Bombyx mori: one gene and its partners. The protein of the gene in region 1 purifies or fractionates together with the protein of each later gene. This does not show direct contact. Links are inferred from orthologs where the notes say so. Each region holds a gene or a part of one and is shown on either strand. Other genes may lie near its edges.

The links.
Region 2: the proteins of probable prefoldin subunit 4 (region 1) and prefoldin subunit 5 purify together in Homo sapiens (affinity purification with mass spectrometry; 5 studies listed by BioGRID and IntAct, counting the BioPlex papers as one, with this or other methods). This does not show direct contact. The link is inferred for Bombyx mori from reciprocal best matches to the Homo sapiens genes PFDN4 and PFDN5.
Region 3: the proteins of probable prefoldin subunit 4 (region 1) and p53 and DNA damage-regulated protein 1 purify together in Homo sapiens (co-immunoprecipitation; 3 studies listed by BioGRID and IntAct, counting the BioPlex papers as one, with this or other methods). This does not show direct contact. The link is inferred for Bombyx mori from reciprocal best matches to the Homo sapiens genes PFDN4 and PDRG1.
Region 4: the proteins of probable prefoldin subunit 4 (region 1) and prefoldin beta subunit purify together in Homo sapiens (affinity purification with mass spectrometry; 6 studies listed by BioGRID and IntAct, counting the BioPlex papers as one, with this or other methods). This does not show direct contact. The link is inferred for Bombyx mori from reciprocal best matches to the Homo sapiens genes PFDN4 and PFDN6.

The regions. Positions count from the first base shown.
Region 1 is NC_085117.1:12,409,105-12,415,232, forward strand, and holds probable prefoldin subunit 4, read right to left. Parts: upstream 4,070-6,128; 5' UTR 3,767-4,069; coding exon 3,734-3,766; intron 3,589-3,733; coding exon 3,367-3,588; intron 2,515-3,366; coding exon 2,362-2,514; 3' UTR 1,738-2,361; downstream 1-1,737. Other genes in the region: EN protein binding/engrailed nuclear homeoprotein-regulated protein, read left to right, coding at 5,610-5,705. UniProt on the Homo sapiens protein: Binds specifically to cytosolic chaperonin (c-CPN) and transfers target proteins to it. Binds to nascent polypeptide chain and promotes folding in an environment in which there are many competing pathways for nonnative proteins.
Region 2 is NC_085112.1:5,061,452-5,067,817, reverse strand, and holds prefoldin subunit 5, read right to left. Parts: upstream 4,312-6,366; 5' UTR 4,156-4,311; coding exon 4,069-4,155; intron 3,110-4,068; coding exon 2,900-3,109; intron 2,286-2,899; coding exon 2,112-2,285; 3' UTR 1,500-2,111; downstream 1-1,499. Other genes in the region: glutaredoxin 3, read left to right, coding at 5,368-5,417, 5,709-5,877, 6,273-6,366. UniProt on the Homo sapiens protein: Binds specifically to cytosolic chaperonin (c-CPN) and transfers target proteins to it. Binds to nascent polypeptide chain and promotes folding in an environment in which there are many competing pathways for nonnative proteins.
Region 3 is NC_085121.1:8,867,987-8,872,613, forward strand, and holds p53 and DNA damage-regulated protein 1, read right to left. Parts: upstream 2,503-4,627; 5' UTR 2,418-2,502; coding exon 2,019-2,417; 3' UTR 1,759-2,018; downstream 1-1,758. UniProt on the Homo sapiens protein: May play a role in chaperone-mediated protein folding.
Region 4 is NC_085112.1:4,986,447-4,991,430, reverse strand, and holds prefoldin beta subunit, read right to left. Parts: upstream 2,419-4,984; 5' UTR 2,288-2,418; coding exon 1,919-2,287; 3' UTR 1,430-1,918; downstream 1-1,429. UniProt on the Homo sapiens protein: Binds specifically to cytosolic chaperonin (c-CPN) and transfers target proteins to it. Binds to nascent polypeptide chain and promotes folding in an environment in which there are many competing pathways for nonnative proteins.

The DNA of each region.
Region 1 (6,128 bases):
TAGAAGCAATAAAGATATAAACAGTAAATTTACGTTTAAGGTGTACTAAACGTTGGGTTATTACTTATTACTAGCGCCTAAAAAAAATTTGGTTTTTATAGTATTGATGTTGATCGCATTTAGCATTTTGTTAATGAAGATAAATTATGTTCAATTTATGTAGGATGTAGGTAATGAGGTGGTATTTTTCAGTGCTTAGGCTAAGTTAGGCCCTGAATATTATTATTTGCGATTATTCTTCATGATAAAAAAAAAGTTTTGTTGTCAGTGCCTAACCTAAAGCACAGTTACGCATCTATTATAATAATAATATATCGTTGATTAAACTATTTTGACATCGACTTTTTGTAGAAAATGTTAGGGCTCGTCTGGTACGTTCGAAGAGTCGAATTTGTTTGGTACAAATTGTAAAACGCATCAGCATAATATAGTATACCGTTAAATTCTCGCCTCATATTTATAAAACCCGGGTTTAAAATAAAACAGCCCTGTCTTTAGGATATGTTCCTTTTTTCAGCAATATTATTTTTAGGTTTATTGATAGTAATAGCCAGGCGAATGTGTTGCCGAGACATTGTACTTAATGGAAAACACACCAAAGAATTCGAAGCACCAAAAATTGCCTGAGATTTTTTCAGATATGCCATTTTGTTTTGTCGATATTGGAAATGATGAAGCTTTGTATTTTGCGGTGGTGTATATTTGCACATAAAATAGTGGTGCACATAAAATGTGTTTTTCTTCTGTATTATATTGTATTAGTATTATGATTAGTAGCTTTATTTGTTTGATAAATTAGTATGATTGTATTAATCAAATTAATTTTGTGATAATAAATTTTAAGGTTTATGTTTATGCTAGTAATCCTGGTCACGCTTTGCCGTGACTATAAGTAATTGTGTGAAAAAGATATATTTCTTGAAACTATTCATGCGCTATTTATGTTTATGGTACTATGACAGAAACCTCTCCTGGAGCTCCAACCACATATTATTATGCATCATCAAAATAAATCACAAGTAACACATACTAATCTCACACAAAATTTTAATACAATTATAATTTATCGATTACATGCAGTGGTGAGATGAGCGGTTCGATTTTAGATTCTATGAAAATATGACATTAATACAAATGAGTTCAGTTAATAAGGTTAAGGTTTATTATTATTTAATTATCATAAAATTATTACTACCTAATCAACGGTTTAGTAACGTATAGGGAACACAACTAGAATCTTTATACATCGCACTTATGGCAAAATTCTTGTTTTTTGGTAAATATAATTGAAATTGAAGAAGCCAAAAATGTAATTGAAGAGTTGTAATTTTTCAGTTTTTAATACTTAAAGCCTTAAAGCGTATACCTTAAATATTATGGTATGCCCTTGATTTTAAAGAGAGGGAAAGTGTACTTTGTCCTTTTCTAACTAAAAAGGTGGTGTGTTATTTCAAAAAGACTACTTATAACTGTACTACTGTAACTATACTTGAGACCTTAGAACTTATATCTCAAGGTAGGTGGCGCATTTACGTCGTAGATGTCTATGGGCTCCAGTAACCACTTAACACCAGGTGGGCTGTGAGTTCGTCCACCCACCTAGGAATAAAAAAAAATAACAGTTCTATATCATATAAGGTATTGTTGTGTAAAACACCTCAGAAAAGCTTAATAGTGACAGCATAGCATGACTGGGATTCACTAATGTACGTCTACTGTCTATTGTAATAATGAAACTTTTAATTAGTATAATATATTTCAATAAAAATACAAGACCTGAATAAGTTGACAAGTCACGAATGCAACTTTCATGTTTAATTATTTATTGAAAGTTAAAAAAGATAGATATCAATTTTGGAGTAACTCCCAAAACATTTTCACACCTTCAACATAACTACATAAGCACAAGGTTAGCTATGTACCACTATTCAAGTAATAACATTTTTTATTATGTACTTTGTTTCCCTTTTATGAAAATGCATCATAGAATGATGTCTGTTATATTTTTATTTATTTATTAAAACATATTTAGTTATCGTGATAATAAATAATTGATGTGTATATTATAGTAATGGAAAATAACTTAAGTGAAAAATCAGTATACATATTCCACAAATCTAGATAACAACAATAATATATTTTGTTCTATATTTAAGGACCATTTCTTTGAACTTAATAAGTCTTTACTGTAATTTTAAACTGCATTGAAGTAGGTCAGCCAATTTTCGAATTAAGAAACATAAATTCTTATTGTGTAAAAACAACAAAGTTTAGAATAACAATAATTATTTGATGTGAAGCCTATGTAACTTAAAAGCTTAAAATATGAGTACAATTTTTGTGAACAAAATTAATGTTGTTTCAATCTTCCTCATTTTCCAAGTTAATGTGGCTACCAAATTTTCCATACAAGTGTGCTTTCAAGTCACTCATTTGTGATTTTAGTTCCTCACATTTTTCTTCTAAATCATGAATTTCATGTATTTTTTTTGCTTTAGCTTCCTCAAGATTTTTCTGGAATAAAATTATAATACTAGATTTAAATATATATGAGTCGTCTATTATCAAAGGTGGCAATCTGTGCATTTGGACAAAAGTTTTTTATTGATATGTCAATACAGATTGATTTGAATATAATCGTCTCCTTCAAAGAATACGGTTCAAAACCTGCATTAAATAAAGGTTAATAGTTAACCTGTTATTTATCTAAGATGTCGTTCCGAAGAGTTTTGTGACTGCCAATGGAATACAAAGTCAATAATTCGTTTTTCTGATTTACCAATCATTGTCCAAAAGTCAGATTGCCGGCTTTGATAATAGTCGACTCATATATAATATTATTTAAGGGTATATACCCTTTTTTATTTATTGAGTTAAGTGTTAAGTTTAAATATAAAATGAGATTAGATAGTTGGATATTTTTTAGTTCTCAATTTTCAGTTGGATTAATATTTAACTAATCTTCAATCAAGCTTAACCTACAAATAAGGCACTTTTATATATTAGAAAGAGAAAATTGTATGTTTCTAAAAATCTATAATCTAACAAGCTTAGCACTAAAAGGGTCAAAAAAATTTGTTATGAACTTAAGGCTTGTATATGATCCTACAAAATGCATTAAGTAATCTGTCAAAAGATGAGTGAGTTTTTGTTTTTGAGATATGCACTGAAAAATATTTAAATAATTCTCTTGGTATTCGCTTTTTACTGAAGCATTAATATCAGATTGAACATACATTATTTTATAAATAAGTTTAGGATAAACTGCTGCAACTTTCTTTTATCAAATGACCACTATTTTACTTTTAGTTAATAAAATATATAATATTAATGAAATTTTAAAGAATATTAATGTGATAGTCTTACCAAAGTAATTTCCAAATTCTGACAAATAAAAATTTCACCAATAAGGTAAGGGATTTTTTCAGAATCATCAGCAAGGCTCAGTTCCTCAACTGCTTCTTCTAGGTTCTTTACATCGTTTTGTTTTACTTTGAGCTCATCCTTATAATCGTCAACTTTAGCATTGAGACGAGCAAACTTGTTAATTTTTTGTTGATCTTCATATGAAATGTGTACATCAGAGTCCTAGAATGCCGAGGAGAAAAATAAATGAAATTCAATAGAATGTTCATGTTTCGTACCTAAAATGGTCTCAATATGGTTAATTAATACAGTAAATTTCTTCTGCTTGTTATGTTTTGACAAAAATAAGTATTGCACATTTACTTACTGGCTGAAAAGTTCCTTTAGCTGTAGTTGACATGTTTACTATCAATATTTAAACATAAAGCATTAAATTTCGGCTGCGCTTAACCTCAAATCGAAATTGTTCATTATTGTTCACTTTTTTTAAGCGTAATTTGTTCATTGAATAGGCAAAAGGAACTTAGCCTATAAAGCCATGTTTGTAACGAAGGCCGAACGGAGTGAATAGTAATTGATTTTGGATGTTTATTGATTTTATGATTGATGATGATTAAATGGAATAAAATGTAACCAAATTCAACATAAGATGAGACAGCATGGTTGATTTTAAAAGGAACAACCTATCAGTAAGATGGTGCCTGCTCATTATGACTCATTAGACTACCTAAGTTTCGAACAACAAAATTGACATTGGATCAGCTTGGTGGAAAAAAAACTTCTACAAAATTATTTTTCCTACCTAAGCCTTGATTTTTTTTTTTTTTTTTTTTTTTTTATTGCCCTTGTAGGCAGACGAGCATACGGCCCACCTGATGGTGAGTGGTTACCGTCGCCCATGGACTTCAGCAATGCCAGGGGCAGAGCCAAGCCGCTGCCTACCGCTTAATACTCTCCACAAGCCTCGTTTGAAGAAGGACATGTCATAGCGCTCGGGAAACACCGTGGAGGGGAGCTCATTCCATAGCCGGATGGTACGTGGTAAAAAAGACCTCTGGAAACGCACTGTGGATGACCGCAGTGGCTCCAGGTAGTATGGATGAACTCTACTCCGGTGGCGGGCGGTGCGATGGTAAAAACGAGATGCCGGTATCATCTCGAACAATTCCTCAGAGCACTCCCCATGGAACATACGGTACAAAATACAGAGGGAACCGAAGTCCCTCCTTGAGAGGCTATTTCAGCGTAACCTTAACTAGTAGGTGAGCTCACCGGGCTCAAACCGGAGTGACGCTAACACTGACCCTAGTAAGAGCAGTGCTTCGCAGAATCTACCGCCAGATCGGAAATGCGTCCCACTGAGAACATTCAGCGAGAAACTCAGTGGGCTATGACTATGGGTTAATTCGCTCGTCGAGCCCTTCATCGCAAGCGACGGGTTCGACGAGGACGGTGCTTGTGGTGCCTAAAAGCACCGTTAATGGATCGGGAGGATCCGTAATGACGTGCTTTGGGCAACGTCGACTGCTTACCATTCGATCTACAGGATCGGGTATGTCTCACAGCGCTCAGCAGCCCTAACTATAATATGAATGACTTCGTATACCTATTAAAGATTTGACGAATGTATCGGTATATACCTGAATGTGCACGGTAGAAGCAGGCTGGACGGGGGAATCATAGTCTACAAAGACTCCTAAATAAAAAGAAAGATAAAAAGAAAGATAACGATTTCATTCCACTCAACACAAAAATTCGGAGGTAGGAGACTAAAACGAGAATGTTGAATGAGAATTACTACAAATGAATATATATTATGTTAATAAAAATACCCAGATAAGTTCATCTGGAACGTATCTGGGTATATTTATTTATCCTTTTCATTATTTCAAAATAAGTTAGAATATTACCCATAATTTAATATCAGATACCGTTGTGCCGTGTGTTTCCCTTGATTGATTGATGCTTCGAATGATCTGAATGAAATGAATAGAGCAATATTATACTGATACGGATTTTTTATTATGGATCTAAGCGGTATTTTCAGCCATTGTATAAGAATGCAAAACCGGGCGGGCGACCGGCGACCCCACCACGGCCGTTCTCTGCGCCTACGCTCGACGACACCACTCACTTGTCCTAAGTTGTCCGCAGACCCGCACTTCAACTTCGAACATCAGACACAGTGCGCGTTACCCAGAGACGAGCAATAAATAAATTTTGATAAACAGTATTAGGTCGTGATGGAAAAAGAACACCAGCCAGACTCGATGGCTACAATAACTATGAAGCCGGAATATCCGCCTTCTGAAGTATACAGCACATCAGAACCGCCACCGGTATGCAAAACCCGTTACCTATTTAAGAATTAATAATATATTATTATTATCATATTGAATAAAAATATGATTAACATTACAATAAAACACAAACTTTAATTTTTAATTAAATACGTACATTATTTGAGTGCAGTAACTGAACAAAAATCTTTTATTTTTATAGATTACATTAAAATAAAATATCAGATATGAGTCGACTATTATCAAAGCCGGCAATCTGACTTTTGGACAATGATTGGTAAATCAGAAAAACGAATTATTGACTTTGTATTCCATTGGCAGTCACAAAACTCTTCGGAACGACATCTTAGATAAATAACAGGTTAACCATTAACCTTTATTTAATGCAGGTTTTGAACCGTATTCTTTGAAGGAGACGATTATATTCAAATCAATCTGTATTGACATATCAATAAAAAACTT
Region 2 (6,366 bases), on another chromosome or scaffold:
TACGAACTGCACAATGTTCGCGAACTCAGTCAGCGCGTATACTCCTTGTCAAGACGAACCATAGACAAAAACACACGGTAACCGTACTCGTCGAACTCGACAAAGAGTTCGACGTGCAACCTAACCCATCAGCCCGCTGAGTTTCTCGCCGGATCTTCTCAGCGGGTCGCGATTCCGATTCGGTAGTAGATTCATTCGCGAAGCAGCTACTCTTGAGTTGGTCTCGGAGGCGCTCAGGCAGCTGTTAGCAAATCTCACCCCTCCTGGCTGAGCATTTGCTCGCCCACCTGTCCTGGTGAACCTGGAAAGGCCTCCGAGGCACCAGTAATACTTTAATCATAAAAAAAAAGACTTAAAACATTGCACTGACCGTACATGATGCAATAAATAAATATGGTGCAATAAAAATTAAACTATATAGTTAAAAACGTTCAATCATCGTGCAATCTTTAATATTAACCCTAGTCAAAAATACTGCCAAGTTCGCAATACCAGGCAATATAATTGATCGTCTAGATTGCCGCTTACGGTAGGTATACTTATGAGATAGTGAAAATCCTAGTATTCGAATCATGGAATTAAATTATTTTAAACTGTGATATTGTACAGACTTTAAGTCTAATAGCTGTGCATTTTTCGCTACCTATTTGCTGGTAGTTTAAGGGGCTATTGTAGCTACGCGCGGACGAGACTGCATTAATCATCATCATCACTACATAGTACAAAACAAAGTCGCTTTCTCTGTCCCTATATCTGTCTGTTCCTATGTATGCTTAAATCTTTAAAACTACGCAACGGATTTTGTTGCGGTTTTTTTAATAGATAGAGTGATTGAAGAGGAAGGTTTATATGTATAATAACATCCATTAAGTAGTGGAGAAATCAATAATAAATTACAGTTTTGAAGCGAAGCGAGGGCGGGTCCCTAGTAAGTTATAGAAAGAAGAGTTTAGCAATACACAAAGGCGACATCCGAGTCGTCTATTATCAAAGGTGGCAATCTGTGCATTTGGACAAAAAAATGTTATTGATATGTCAATACAGATTGATTTGAATATAATCGTCTCCTTCAAAGAATACGGTTCAAAACCTGCATTAAATAAAGGTTAATAGTTAACCTGTTATTTATCTAAGATGTCGTTCCGAGGAGTTTTGTGACTGCCAATGGAATACAAAGTCAATAATTCGTTTTTCTAATTTACCAATAATTGTCCAAAAGTCAGATTGCCGGCTTTGATAATAGTCGACTCATCTATGGATTGTGTAAGAAAGTTGTAAATTACATTTATACGAGTATGTAACTATCCTTCTAGAATTTGATTATTACTAGATACAACAACAATACAGGGTGTTATTCTTCAGAATTCAATAATTAGATCATTAAAACATTTAAAACAGTATCAGAATATATCTTAAAAAAAGAAGCCACTTTTTGCTGATGTTTGTTTTAGCCGCGTTTTTTTTTTGTTATACTGGATCGTTCAAGTAAAACTTGGAAATATATTTATATATTTATTTTAAACATAAGCACATTTTGTTACATTGAATTAAATTTAAAACTAAGCAATGAGTCTTGTACTTGTAAAACACATAGTTTGAAATGATATAAAGCTTTACAAAATTACAAAACATGAATTAAGAATATTATTAACATTACTTGATGCTATTGAGTAGTACTCTTGAGGAGTATTCTAAACACAAAATATTACCTTAGGTAATTAGTTTCAAAATTTATCCAAAATTAAAGAAAATGTGAGGAAAAGCTTTGATGTGGCTTAATAATATTATCTAGCTTTACATTAGAAAATATCAGTATAAGTCATAGCTGTTGGGATTACGTTAATACATTCAGAAACTTGGCTTTGCTCTGAAATCACTGATGTACAGAAGCAATAGTAACCACTTTGATTAGGACAGGGTGATACGTGGTAACAAAACACAAATGATTCCACTTTTAACACTAAGATGTAATCATTAAAATGTTTTAAAAAGTAATTAAAATACTTTAAATAAACTATAAATTAACAAAGCAGAAAATTTAGGTCAACTCTATACATTAAAAGGACACGAATCTCTCCACAAAATATTTTTTAAATTAAGTCTCAGATATGTTATGAAGAGTTAGCTTTTTTTGCTTGTAGTTCGTTTTGAACTTTCATTTCAACTAATGCATTAACAGCTTCACGGAGTTTCGATTTCTCTGCACCTAACATACTTATTTTCTCCATTTGTTCTGTAACAAATTCTACTCTTCTCTTGAAGTAATCTTTGCCACTTTCAATGTCCTAGAAGCAGAAATAAAACGTAATACAAACATATGTCAGCATCATTAGCCCTAAGGGGTAACCCATGCAGTTAATTTGAAATTATTTGAAACTATATCATGATTCAATCTTCATACCAATATTCTAAAGTACTCAACATTTTCTGAAATGAGGTTTGAAATGAAAACAGCAGCTATACATGATATATTATCCTGCCAAACTTGGAGCTGAATTAAGTGTTAAATTAGGTTTAAATTTATTTTTAACTAGCGCCCCCCCTCGCCTCGCTTCGCTTCGGAAACATTAAATTTTATTATTGATAGCTGAGTCCCGCGATGTTATCCCGTGGTACGACAATAACCGACGCCGCGGGCCGAACCTAATCTAAGAAGTAGCCTAAGTTACTCCTTATATCATCAGCTACCTATCAGTGAAAGTCTGGTCAATATTGGTCCAGCCGTTCCAGAGATTAACCGGAACAAACAGACAGACAGGCAGACAGACAAAAATTGTAAAAAATGTTATTTTGGTGTATGTACTGTATATATTCATATGCATGTAGTAAAAAGCGGTTATTTCAATATTAAAAACAGACACTCCAATTTTATTTATATGTATAGATTTAAGTTACTCACTTTCTTAGCGTAATATCCAGTGCCAATGTCAATAATGACATTCTCAACATCAGCTATTGTGCCAGGAACATACATTGAACTAGTCAATGGAACAAGCATCGGTTTTCCTTTGATATCAGGCGTCATCTTCTCTAGAACATCTCCTGATTCACCAAACTTATTTTTAGCCATTTGTAATGTTTGTATTGAATCATGAAATACTGTCAATTCCTGAAATAAAATTTTATGGATTTTGTGTGAGAGTATTGCCTTTTTTTCGGATGGAGATAGCTGGTTGCAAGGAGGCCACTACTGCTTCACTAAGATAGGCAGGGCAAGCATGGGAGCAGCCAGGAGGAGTCAGATTTACTAACAGCTGCCCAAGTACTCCCAAAGTAGACCTAAAGACTAAAGGGCAGACGTTTTACTAATGCATATTGTAACATAACATCAGTTACTAACATACAGACACATTTTCACTGGTGGTAGGACCTCTTGTGATTCCGCGTGGGTAGGTACCACCACCCTGCCTATTTCTGCCGTGAAGCAGTAATGCGTTTCGGTTTGAAGCTGTTGTAACTATACTTGAGACCTTAGAACATATCTCAAGGTGGGTGGCGCATTTACATCATAAATGTCTATGGGCTCCAGTAACCACTTAACAACAGGTGGGCTGTGAGATCGTCCTCCCACCTAAGCAATAAAAAAAATGTCTCCCTCAATTTAGTCATTATGTTTGATGTTCCATTTCTGGCTAATTATAGCAATAGCTACAATACAATAAAGAAAAGCGGATATGACCTGAAGCTGACTGTTTACGAAATAGTCTTCCAATAAAAGATCAGAACAACAACATGATGACTGCTTGTCTACCAAAAATGAGCACATTCAGTGAAGTCTTCTCTTTAACATATCTTAGATTCATAGCTTTGTGAGTTGGTATTTGAGGTCCGGGTTCATGTCACTAACAAGTACACCTAGATACACAACTCAGACCAGAAAACATATGGAAATGTTTTCATTCCGGCTTTCATGAGGGTCCTTAAAATAGGACATAAGTCCTGTCTCTTAAGGACATTAATAGTTACGACATTTAATAATTATCTGTATAAATTATATTATGTTGAAGAAATAATACTTAATGCTTACTATTTCTAAAATAGCTCTATAGATATTTCCTTTATACATACCTGGTCTAACTGCTGTTTCAATTGAGCTAGTTGAGGCAAAGGTAGTTTGTTTAAATCGATTTGTTGAGTGCCTGAACCGGATGCCATCTTTGTAAATATTAATAAAAGGAAATAATAAAAGAACTTAACACACGTTTCTAGTTATTCTATTTAGTTTTTTGTAGGATCCTAAGACTATTTCTTTTTTCTAACCTCAAAATAGGTAGATTTCGGGTAGGATCCAAAACTTCAGTCAGAATATGTCAATTTGACAGTTTTACTTGTTTGGTCCAAATTGACATGCAAACAAATTCTGCCTATAACACCAAATAAGTGAAAAAAACAAATCGATAAAGAAAACCTCTTAGTAAAATGTTGAGAATTTACAGAAACTAAACTGGATTTATTAGTGTGTATCAATTTGGCTAGTCATATTGGTAGTTTTCTACCAATTTGACCGCTAACGAAAATCGTATTAAAGAGGTTAATAAATTTATAAGTTAACAATTATGTTGCGAGCATTTCGAGAGAGCAATGACTAAGCAAACCTTTTAATCACCATATAAATTAGCAAAAAAATTGGCTCAGACACAAAAAAATCTACCACTAAGCTTGATCATTAACCGTAAACAATAAGATGGCTAAGCGATTTTAAATAAATAAGATATACATGACATAATATAACTTCGCTGTGTTGCTAAAACTCCTTATTGTGTACATCTATTTATTATTTATGACTCCTTTTGCTTGTCCAAAAAACAAATCAAACAAAAAAATTTGGCTCGAAATAGAGATGATGATTCGACTTCAGACCAAAATTTTGAAAAATCGATTCTAGAAAATACCCAAGTGCAACCAAAATGACACAAAAATCAATCAAACAGAAATTAACAACAAATTCATTCAAAAAATTTAATAAATACATGATTTATATACAACAACTTTTTAAATTATTATTATTTAAAATGTAAATTTAAATTTAATAAACATTATATTTAATATATTCATAATCAGTTGAACCATAAATACTTTATTAATGCCTTTTCATCAAATTTCGATTTTCTACTGCTTAAGATGTTTCACTATTCACGATTTAAGTTGTTAACAAATTAATTTACTCAAGTATCGATCTTAGACCACATCCCTAATCAGAGATGTCAGAAACTGAATGAACATGATTAAATAAATTGTAATTTTTGCATCGAGTACACCTACGATTCCGGATCTTGCTGTAATTGTAATTCAATCTTGCTGTAATCCAGTGGCGCTTATATACTGTTTACAAAATTTATTAAAGTAACCTAAACATAGTATACTGAAATGTCGGTCAGTAAATTGGACTCTGTTGAAGATTTTAATAATTTTATAAGGTAAGAATCACCGCTAATAAAAAAGTACTTTTAAAACCGTTTGTGAAAGGATCATTAAAAATAAGCCATAAAAAGAAATTAAATTAAATACACAGTAAATAGGTAAAAATGTTAGATAATAAATTACTATGTAGCAGGATGGTCAACATTTTGCATTCATTGAAATGGAAATATGTATTTAGAATATAAAATTGAGAATATTACTTTCAATTAATCTTTTATCACAACAAGATGATTCTTTAATATCTATCTTGGTATTGGCTGATATCAAAAATTATTTAATTAATTTAGATCACCTGCACTTGGAGTAGTACACTTTTCAGCAGAATGGGCCGAACAATGTAAACAAGTTACAGATGTACTTGAAGAACTCTTAAAACTTCCTGAAATTCAGTCGAGCAAGACACAATGTGCTGTTTGTGATGCCGAGGCACTTTCTGAAGTTTCCTTGCAATATAAGGTAATGCTCTGCTAATATATTGTTAAATAAAAAGTAATAAGTGCTAACCCTAAAAATGTAGTGCATCATAAAGCACAGACAATTAAGTCACCTATTGCAATACCTGTGTATACTTTTTTTATTATTTATTAAAGCCATACACTTATTAGGTTAAGTCGGCTTATATACCTTTATGGATACATCAATTTGTATCTTGATTTTGGTTACTCAACTATGCATTAAAGACTTTATGTCATTCTTCAGATTGAAATAGACTACTTTAGGAAACACTACACTAGACCAGTTAAGCAATCAAAGAGCCTATGTAATTGAATATTGAAATAATTTATAATGAAAACAATCAAAATAGGGAAAGCCTGTTTTAGACAACTTATTAATGATTATGTTTATTTCAGGTAGATTCAGTGCCTACAGTTATATTATTTAAGAATGGAACTCAAGTAGACAGGATTGATGGAGCAGATGCTGCTCAAATTAGCACAAAAATTA
Region 3 (4,627 bases), on another chromosome or scaffold:
TGAGCAAGAGTTACGACTACGTGAAGTGTAAGAATGCGAACGAAAAGCTAGTTGTAAATGACGCACAGTACAAGTTTTGCGCCCTTGGTCGGTAAAAATTCGTAGTTTGTGTTTTTAACACAAATATTTGTAGTTTCTCCACATGATTCTACTGCTCGTCTTTAAAATGCTTTTGGGGTGCAATAATATGCGTGTTTCTTTCTCTAAGATCGTCCTGCAACTATTAGGTTATACAATTACCAGGAGGAAACTGTTACTAAGTTTGACGTAAGATAAATAATCTCCGCAATAAATAGTTGATTTAATTATGCCGTAAATAATTTCACTATACCTCATGTTTTTTTATTGCCCTTGTAGGCAGACGGGCATACGGCCCACCTGATGGTGAGTGGTTACCATCACCCATGGACGTAAGCAATACCAGGGGCAAAGCTAACATGCTGCCTACCGTAAAGTACTCTCCACAAGCCTCGTTTGAAGAAAGACATGTGATGGTGCTCGCGAAACACCGTAGAGAGGAGCTTACTCCAAAGCCGGATGGTATGTGGCAAAAAAGATCTCGGGAAGCTCATTGTGGATGAATGCAGTAGTTCTAGGTAGTATGGATGAAATCTACTCCGGGGGCGGGCGGTGCGATGGCCAAAATAAGATGATGGGATCATCTCAAACAATTCCTCAGAACAAAGTGCTCCATGGAACATATGCTACAAAATACAGTGAACCAAAGTCCCACTGCAGAGGTTCCAAAAAAGTTTTCACTGATCTTTTGCACTGAAGTCTTAAAACAGTAGAGCGATTTTAATGATTTTTTTGTTTGTGTGTTGAAGTGGTTCCCTATTCGCAGTTCAACACTAGGTGGTGGTGTACATTAATTGAAAAAACAAAATTGAATATTTTTTAAAATATGTAGTCACTATACTTACTTAATTTAAATTAATTCAATAGGTCATCGCATAGAAAGTTAATGACGTTATCAGTGACATAATAAAAGTGTTGTTGATTCAAAAACTGTTGAACCTTCATAGTACTCCATTCATCTATACGGGGCAAAGGTAAGAAACACTGTCTAGGTATAAAAGAGTATGAGCAATCAGGGTGGTACCATAGTAAGTGGTGTAATCTTAAACATGACAACAAAAGTTATTAATTTTTTTTATTTACCACACATTCTTCCATTTATAATTGCTACATTCATATCATACCACTTGGTATGTGAGTGGTATTTTGGTGGCTTTTCCGTTGTGTTGCTACTTATTCAATTTGTCCCCGATAAGACAGTAGTGCTTAACTGTACCCTCTATACTTGCATACTCCTATTAATGTTACACATTTATTTTGAAAAAGAATCATATAAATTTAAAAATAAAAGTAACACTGATATTTAGTAGCTTTCGTTTGCTTCGTGATTTTGTCAAACATTTAAATTTAAAGGTTCAAAATTAAAATGACCATAAAAATTCTGACTTAAATCTTTTATGGACCACAATTTGAAATCATTATGAACATATAAACTTGTAGGAGACAGGTATTATTTACTTTCTTTCAATTGTCACTACTTTCCAAAATATTAAAAACAAAAGCAAAAACTTTTATCAATTTCATTTACTATGAACAAAATGCATTCTGACATTTCTCAGTATGAAATGGGAGATTTCATAATAGCAATAAAGTTGAAATTTCCATTTTTAAACGCAAATAAAAAAAAATCCAATATATATTTATATTTTTGAACTTGTGTAAAAATAAAACAATCATAGATTATTCTCAATTCTTGTACTGTGTAATGTCAAAACTGGGTTTTACAAGCACTGTGTTATACGAGGGATGCCCATAATAATATATTATTATAATTTTACCTTCTGACATGAACTTTCATAATGGTCTACTCATTAAATACATGACAGTCAGCAAAATTTCAGAAACCCCTATTACCTCAATAAAATAGTGTAGCATTCTCCATTTCTGAATAATCAAAATTAAATATTGTTACTATTTTAAGTTTTGATTTTACTTTTCCATTACAAAGAAAATAAATTACTTTTTGTTAATCCTTCAGTTTCTTTCTGGGACAGAGGTACTAACATTAAGCCTGGAACTGGTGGTTGCATTTCCAGATCTCTCAATGTATTGACTTTGATTTTCAGGTCACTCCTCAATTTGTTTATGTCAATATTTAATTGTTTTTGATCGGCTTCCAGCAGAGTTTTAGTATCTTCAAACTTATGCTTTACGAGTATTGATCCCACCGTGAGCCAATATTTCTTCTGACTTGATTTAGTAAGATCTCTTAACGCTTCTCGATTTTTATTTCTTCGTTTATCTAGCATTATAATTTCATTTTTATCAACAAGAATATCAGATGCAAGTGTTTCTATTTGTTTTAAATACCTCAATAGTTTTTCTTGATTATTTACCATGTTTAGTGCATGTTTAATAACTTTTGTTCGTATTTTTAATTTTTAAACGAAGCCAGCTGATGTCACTTTTTTTTTTTAAGGGATTTTATGACCTGGTAACTGAGACCTTTAAGTCATGTCTTATTTTAATTTATATTCATATTTTTATGAAAAATGATATTATGGAGTGAAATGAGATGAAGACGACTAATTTAAGACATTAATCAACTGGGATGAAATTAAATGAAATGAAATGGGATGAAATATAATCTCAGTAAAATGGTGGTCATTCACTAAGATTTTTTCAGTGGACTTTTTGGAGGATCTCAAGAAGTTACGTCCATTGGCTTTGTTTCATTTTCCCACATTTGTGCACTTTCACAGATATTAAACAGTTAATAAACCACCATTATTACACATTTAAACCCGAAGAAACACTAAATAGAAAAAATAAAACAAATCACACAACTTCACTCCTGAAAAAATTTGGGACGGAACTTGAGAAGAGGGCCAATAAAAAATTTCATATCCTTTTTAATTAATTTAATTTGATATTCTGTAGATATTGTAGCATATTTTAGTTTATAACTGTATATATGTTTAGTTTATAATTGTATATTTTAGTACTTTAGTGTAGATAGTATGGAGTTGGAGGCGGGAACGGATCCCCCGGATCCGAATATTACTGAGGAGACAACTGATACGACTAACTCAAGGTTTAGCCAACCAATATTTTTCTGTGATGAGTTCGACCTTTCCAATGTATCTGAATTTGTCAACGTTAAATCGAAGAAATCCCAAAAAAAGAAACAACTTGTTAATTCTTTTAAACCAAAGATCTCGGACAAACAACTTTCGTTGCGCCCGCTGCAGCAGGCTTTGGCGGGAAATCTTGCAAATAACGTAAATAAGCTTATAGTGCCTCCTCGCCAAATTGTACAGACCTCACCAGAGCCTACTTCAGCGAGTCCTTCTATGACACCATCTGAGACCCCAATGGCTGACTCTGTTTACAGAAAAAAATACACTGAACAGGATCCCGGCCCATATATGGTCCATGTTACTTTAATCTCAGATTCTAATAGTACTACATCACTGCACCCACTTAAATTTGGAAATTTTCTAAAGAAAAGCAATCTTGGTAATATATTACAGGATGGAATTAAACGAGTAGGTCGTAATCGCCTGGCAATAACTTTTAAAACACATAGTGATGCCAATATTTTCATAGCCAACATGTCTATGAATCCATTGTATAATGTAGTGATTCCTACATATAATATATGTAAAATGGGTTTGATAAAGGGTATCCCTCAGGAGTGGACTCATGAGGACATTGTAGACAATCTGCAAATCCCAGAAGGCTATGGACAAATTATCAAATCCCGTAGATTAAACAGGAAGTCTGTCAACTCAGATGGAACTTCATGGATTCCTACTCAAACTGTGGTCTTGACTTTTGACGGACAGTCTCTTCCCTCTAGAGTGTATTCCTTTTTTTCAAGTATTCCAGTTGAACAGTATATTTATCCAACGGTACAATGTTTCAATTGTTGTCGCTTTGGACACACTCGTGTTCAATGCAGGAGCAAACCTAGATGTAATAAATGTGCTGGAGAGCACAGCGGACTGGCTTGTAATACTGAGACTTTTTCTTGTGTTAACTGTAGAGGTGAACATATGGCTACAAACAAATCTTGCCCTGAGTTTAGTAGACAAACAAATATTAAAAAACATATGTCTCAAAACCCCATTTCATACCAAGAAGCCTCTAAATTGTTTCCTATTGTAAAGAAATCATATTCGCAAATAACATCATCTATTCCACTATCTGCCCAAAGTTTAAATGATGTAGATAGTTCAAATTCTGTCTCTTACAAAAAAACTGTTATAAAGAAGCCTAAACAGGCATCTATTTTAAATAAGGGTTATGTCAAATCAGAATATAAATCATTGATCCGCAGCATTTCATTTGATGAGTCTCAAGGTAAAGTAGGTTCCGCTTTGCAATCCAACAAAGAAAAGGATACACAGTTGCCATCTTCTGACACACTAAATAAATTGTTATCCACACTTATAAATATTATTGCTAATTCAGAACTACCAGAACACGTTGCTCTTTCACTTATAAATAATATTTCACTATCAATTTTCAATATTTTTAAATATGGACAGAGTCCTCCAGTGGAACTGTAAAAGCATAGTTCCTAAAAAACATGAAATTATATCTT
Region 4 (4,984 bases), on another chromosome or scaffold:
GTGAGCTCGTCCACCCATCTAAGCAATAAAAAAAAAAATTCGTAGCTTTTTTTCCCCTACCTATGATGATAGCCTTCAAGAGGCTATATCAGCGTTACGCTGCGTGTGCGTGAGCTCTCGGGGCTCAAATAGGTGTTGCTAACACTGGCCCTAACAAGAGCAGTGCTTCGCAGAATATACCACCGGATTCGAAATGCGACCCACTGAGAAAATCCGGCGAGAAACTCAGTGAGCTTTGTCTATGGATTAATTCGCTCGTTGAGCCCTTCGTCGCGAGCAACGGGTTCGGCGAGGACGGTGACCGGTGTTTGAGATACCTAAAAGCACCGTTAATGGATTCGTAATGACGTGTTTAGGGCGACGTCGACTGTTTACCATTCGGTCCACAGGTATGTAATTTCCGACGGCCACAACAAGAGTGTTTTTGTTTCGTACTGTTTTCTCAAAGCGGCGAGTTGATGCCGACTGTTTAAACTTACTGATTGAGTCAAGCTCCAGGTCATCATGGAGAACCACATTCCTTAAAAACCACGGTGCTTGAAGGGGTTTCAAATTAGTGCGTGAGGGATCATTACATTTGCGTCATGACCGGGCGTATGCAAGTTTTGTAGGTACCTTATTACGAAGGTTTTCGTAATATTGTCGAGTGTTATAGAGATAAATACTTGGTACTGTAATCCAGGTATCGATTTAAATTTAGCACTTTATGATATTGTAGTTGGTAGATAGGCTGTTCTCTACAGCTTGAGCTTTTAACCAGCGCTGGTTGTTGGCTGGAGTGATCTACAAGTACTGTTCCAGCTCCTTCAAGAAGTCAGGCATCTTCAGGTTGATCAGGTAAACACAAGAAGCTCACCATAAGTAGCTCTCTGCATTCAAAAAGGCTAGTCGCAGAGAACTATGGATGATATCCTAATTCAGTAATGAACAGTGACTCAAGAAATGTAGACTGCATAAAAAGAAAAGGTATTTTTTTTAGAAAGTTACAAACTTTATTAATACTAAAGTTACAGTTTCTTGGGATTCATTAGGAACAATATAATTCTTAAATTGGGTACAAAAGCTTATAAATGTGTATTTTTTTTATAGTGACACATTGTAACTTCAATGCCTTTAGCTTTATGTAGCTTAATGCAGGAGAATGAGTATCTTGAACGTGATTAAGTTGCACTATGTTGAGATTCAAGACACAATTTTTTTTATGCCTGTATTCTTTATGAGCAGTATTAATTATTGAATAAATCATTGGAAACATAATTAGAATAAGTTTATTAAATTACATTTGTGCACTTTCTCCACTGCCAGCTTAAATTATGCCGACCATTTGTATACAAATGCAATACATAACATTTGTAATAGGTATTTAAAAACAAAAAATTACCCAATTTTTTTTAGATTGTCATATGGTTTTAGGTTAATATACAAAACTACTGGTAATAGAAGCGAACAATTATTCTAAGATGAATCTGGTTTCAAAACTAATGGTACTCATTATACCGTCAATTACCTTGCAAACTTTCAGCTTATACACACAAAAATAAATATGTACAAGTAACAAAATATTTTAGTTTTGAAAATAAATAATAAGTAAATAATAGGCAGCAGTTTGGCTGTGCTCCTGGCATATCTGATGTCTATGAGTGATGGTGACATCAGGAGGGCCACAAACATCTGCCTGCAATGGCAGTAAAATAAAAACTTACTTTCAGTAAGATTTTTTATTTTTATATTGAGTTAACAAAAGGAAGAGGTAAGTTTAGTGTAATGCCACACAGCAGTTTTTTCATGATTATTGCATAGCTAAACATACATTAAATTATTAATGTGTAATATTTTTATTTGTAATAGTAGTTCTCTAAACATACAAGTGAGTCATAATAGAAGAATAGAAATATTTTACTTTTAATTCACACATTTTTCAAGCTTTTAGTTTTAGTTTGCCAAGATCATTTCTAAGTTTATTTAAGTTTTCTTGCAGTGCTTCTTGTTTGTTTTCTAAAGCACATATGTGATCATCTGTTCTTTTGATTTCTTTGCTAATGTACTCCATACGTTTGGAGACGTTTTGTCTGGCTTCTTCCAAATCTTGCTTCACCAATACGGGTCCGATGAGTTTGTATACCTCTGAATCTTTTCTTAAGAGTTTTAGTTCCTCTTTGACTGCTTTATTTTCATTTAACTGGCTGTCTAATTGTTGTTTCTGAGTGACCGCTTTCTTTATGTCTTTTTGAACACCTTGAAATAATTCGAGCTGTTTTTGAAACTTTTTTTGTATTTCTTCCGCCATTGTGTTTCAGTCAAGGTATGATTTGATAGAAAATAAACAGTTTAATACAGAAATCTTTTCCGTTTTTTTTCACCTGCTCAAAAATTTTAGTTGAGGTTATGTCTCAAATATATTAAGTGTATAATCTATGGGTTATGTGTGTATTCTCTATGGTTTTGTCATTTGTCTGACATTGATTTTGAAATTAACCATAGATAATACACAAAAAATTTCAAGTGTCACTACGTACCGGTAAAATGGGGCGATTAGGGACAAATTCCAACTTTATGACCAATTTTAAGGTAGATGTTGATGTATATAATGCTATATCAGGATCGAAATGATTGAGTCTTGGGGGCATCTTTGTTGTCCAATTTAAAACTATGCAACTAGCATTCCAGTTTAAGCAAAAAAAGCAAAAATAGGTGTAATCCCTATTTACCCGAAAATTGCGGTTAATTGGGACGAAATGAGAAATTTGCTAGGGCTGCCACTACTTGGTTTTAATTTATTTATTTATTTAGTTGCACCAACAAAGTGATCATCAACTTGATTACATTTATTTACTTATGATTAATTTATATTTACTTGAGAAATGATCCGCGACAGATTTGTCCTGTAAGTTGTGATACAATTAAAAAAAATTTATTTCATCACTTAAAATTAGTTCAGCGTAATCGGACAACTCCGAATGAACATTGACGGAGACCATGCTACCGTGGACATTATTGTAGTCCCAAAGGAGAGTAAGCTTTCTTATAAACGGTTTATATTTTTTCGTTCTTGGTAAGTACTTAGGGGCTGATATTTTTATCTGGGTTAAGAGATTAGGTGTGTTGGTTATTCCATGGATTAATCAGATGAATACCCCCACTCTGAACAAATATTAAATATTTTACTATGTATTACTTAGACATTTTTGTCCACCTTGACATTTCATTGTTCTTGTTAGATGTCTGTGCAAAATCGACTTACTTATATTAAATTGCTTAGCTATTTCAACTAAAGACTTATTCCCAATTTCAAAGGCTTCTATTGCTGTTTTTAATATTAAGGGATCATATCTCTTTTAAGGCTTTGCACTCTTTAATACGTACACGCGAGGCATTATCTAAAAATAGAAAACAGTACGTAACTGATAATATAAGTATTTACCAAACAATAAAATAACACATTGATAATTTTGAATAAAAGTTCTAGACAAAAACATCATGAATAAACAAGATTTTTACCAACAAATTTAAAAAATATTGTTATAACTACATAGACAACCCTACAAACCTGTACCTATTTATACTCAGCTCGTTTCCATTTCACGTATTCTCATCCCAATTGACCCCTTTTTCGTTGTTATTTGTACCTAAGACGTCCCCAATATCCCCAAAAACAACAGATTTTTACATGTATTTTTATTTTATCAAATACATTAAAACCAATAACAACTGAGACTTACCTTTAATATATATGATGGCTCAAACACTAAATAACGTGTATAAATCACAGTCGTCTTCTATTAATATCAAATAAATAAAAGAGAGCAAAGTTTCTAGCACCAAAATAATGACCACCACAGGAAGTTAATTTGAAACGCGATTTTTTATAAGTTAGCAGCTATTATCATGCATATTCAGAGTTGTTTTGTGAACTTTCAACATTCTACTATTAAACTAGAAAAAATGGAAGATTTTGCAACGAATATAAAACTAATATTGACTGTCGAAAGATTTTCCCGGTTTTTTCCCAATTCGCCTCTCAATCCCTAATCGCCCCATTTTACGGTACTGTTCGTTGTGTGAATTTTCTTGAACTTCTTTCTATCGAAAATAATTGGGATCATACACACGTCGACTATATTTAACAGATTTTCTTAATTTTTAATGATGAGTTCGAGAGCATCCCTTTCACTCGGTCACGTGAAACAGATTAACAAATTAAAAAACTATAAATTACGAGTCCAACAAGGCCAGTACGCACTTTTCGCAGAGGTTCCGTCTTCACTCCTATTCAGCAGCGAACCATAGGGGAGTCTTGTACATTGTCATGAGAACATTGTGGAACATTGATATTTGAAGGAAGCCTGTGGGAGGCTTAAACGACGAAAGGAAGATCTTCCACCGAGCGGATGATATTGCTCGGTAGACTGACGGTCTGAATGTTGTTGTTCGGAACTTGTTTAAATGGAAGCTTGTCTTGAAAATATCGTAAACAAGATTCAGGTATCTATCAAATATCTTGCGTTGTATGATAGCTACCGTCACAAAGCCGGCCGTCGTTATTAGGCGGGGGCCGATTTCGAAATGACGACCAATGTTGCCACGAGCCTCCATTTGGGGGTACTAAAGTTGCACCACCACTACGATGCGGATGTCATAGTTAACGAGATGGGCAACACGGCGACGGTGGCGGATTTCGAGGCCTGTGAAGCAACAGGTCCTGGGTTTCCTTGAGCGCCACCTTGAGGCCCAGCTCCATAATTTTAGACTTACACCCGTATCTTCAGTCGTTTACACGAGCTTAACTCAACTCGACTCAACCTCCAACCCGCGTTTTGGTATGATTAGCATAGACCTATATAGTAGGGACACGACATATTGTTCTATACGTACAATTGCTTATATAAATAGCACCCATTTTGAAGGCACATACATAAACATATATCTATCTCGTTCTTACTCAGCACTTTAACTCGCAGGAAAACAATATAACAGTATTTCAGTG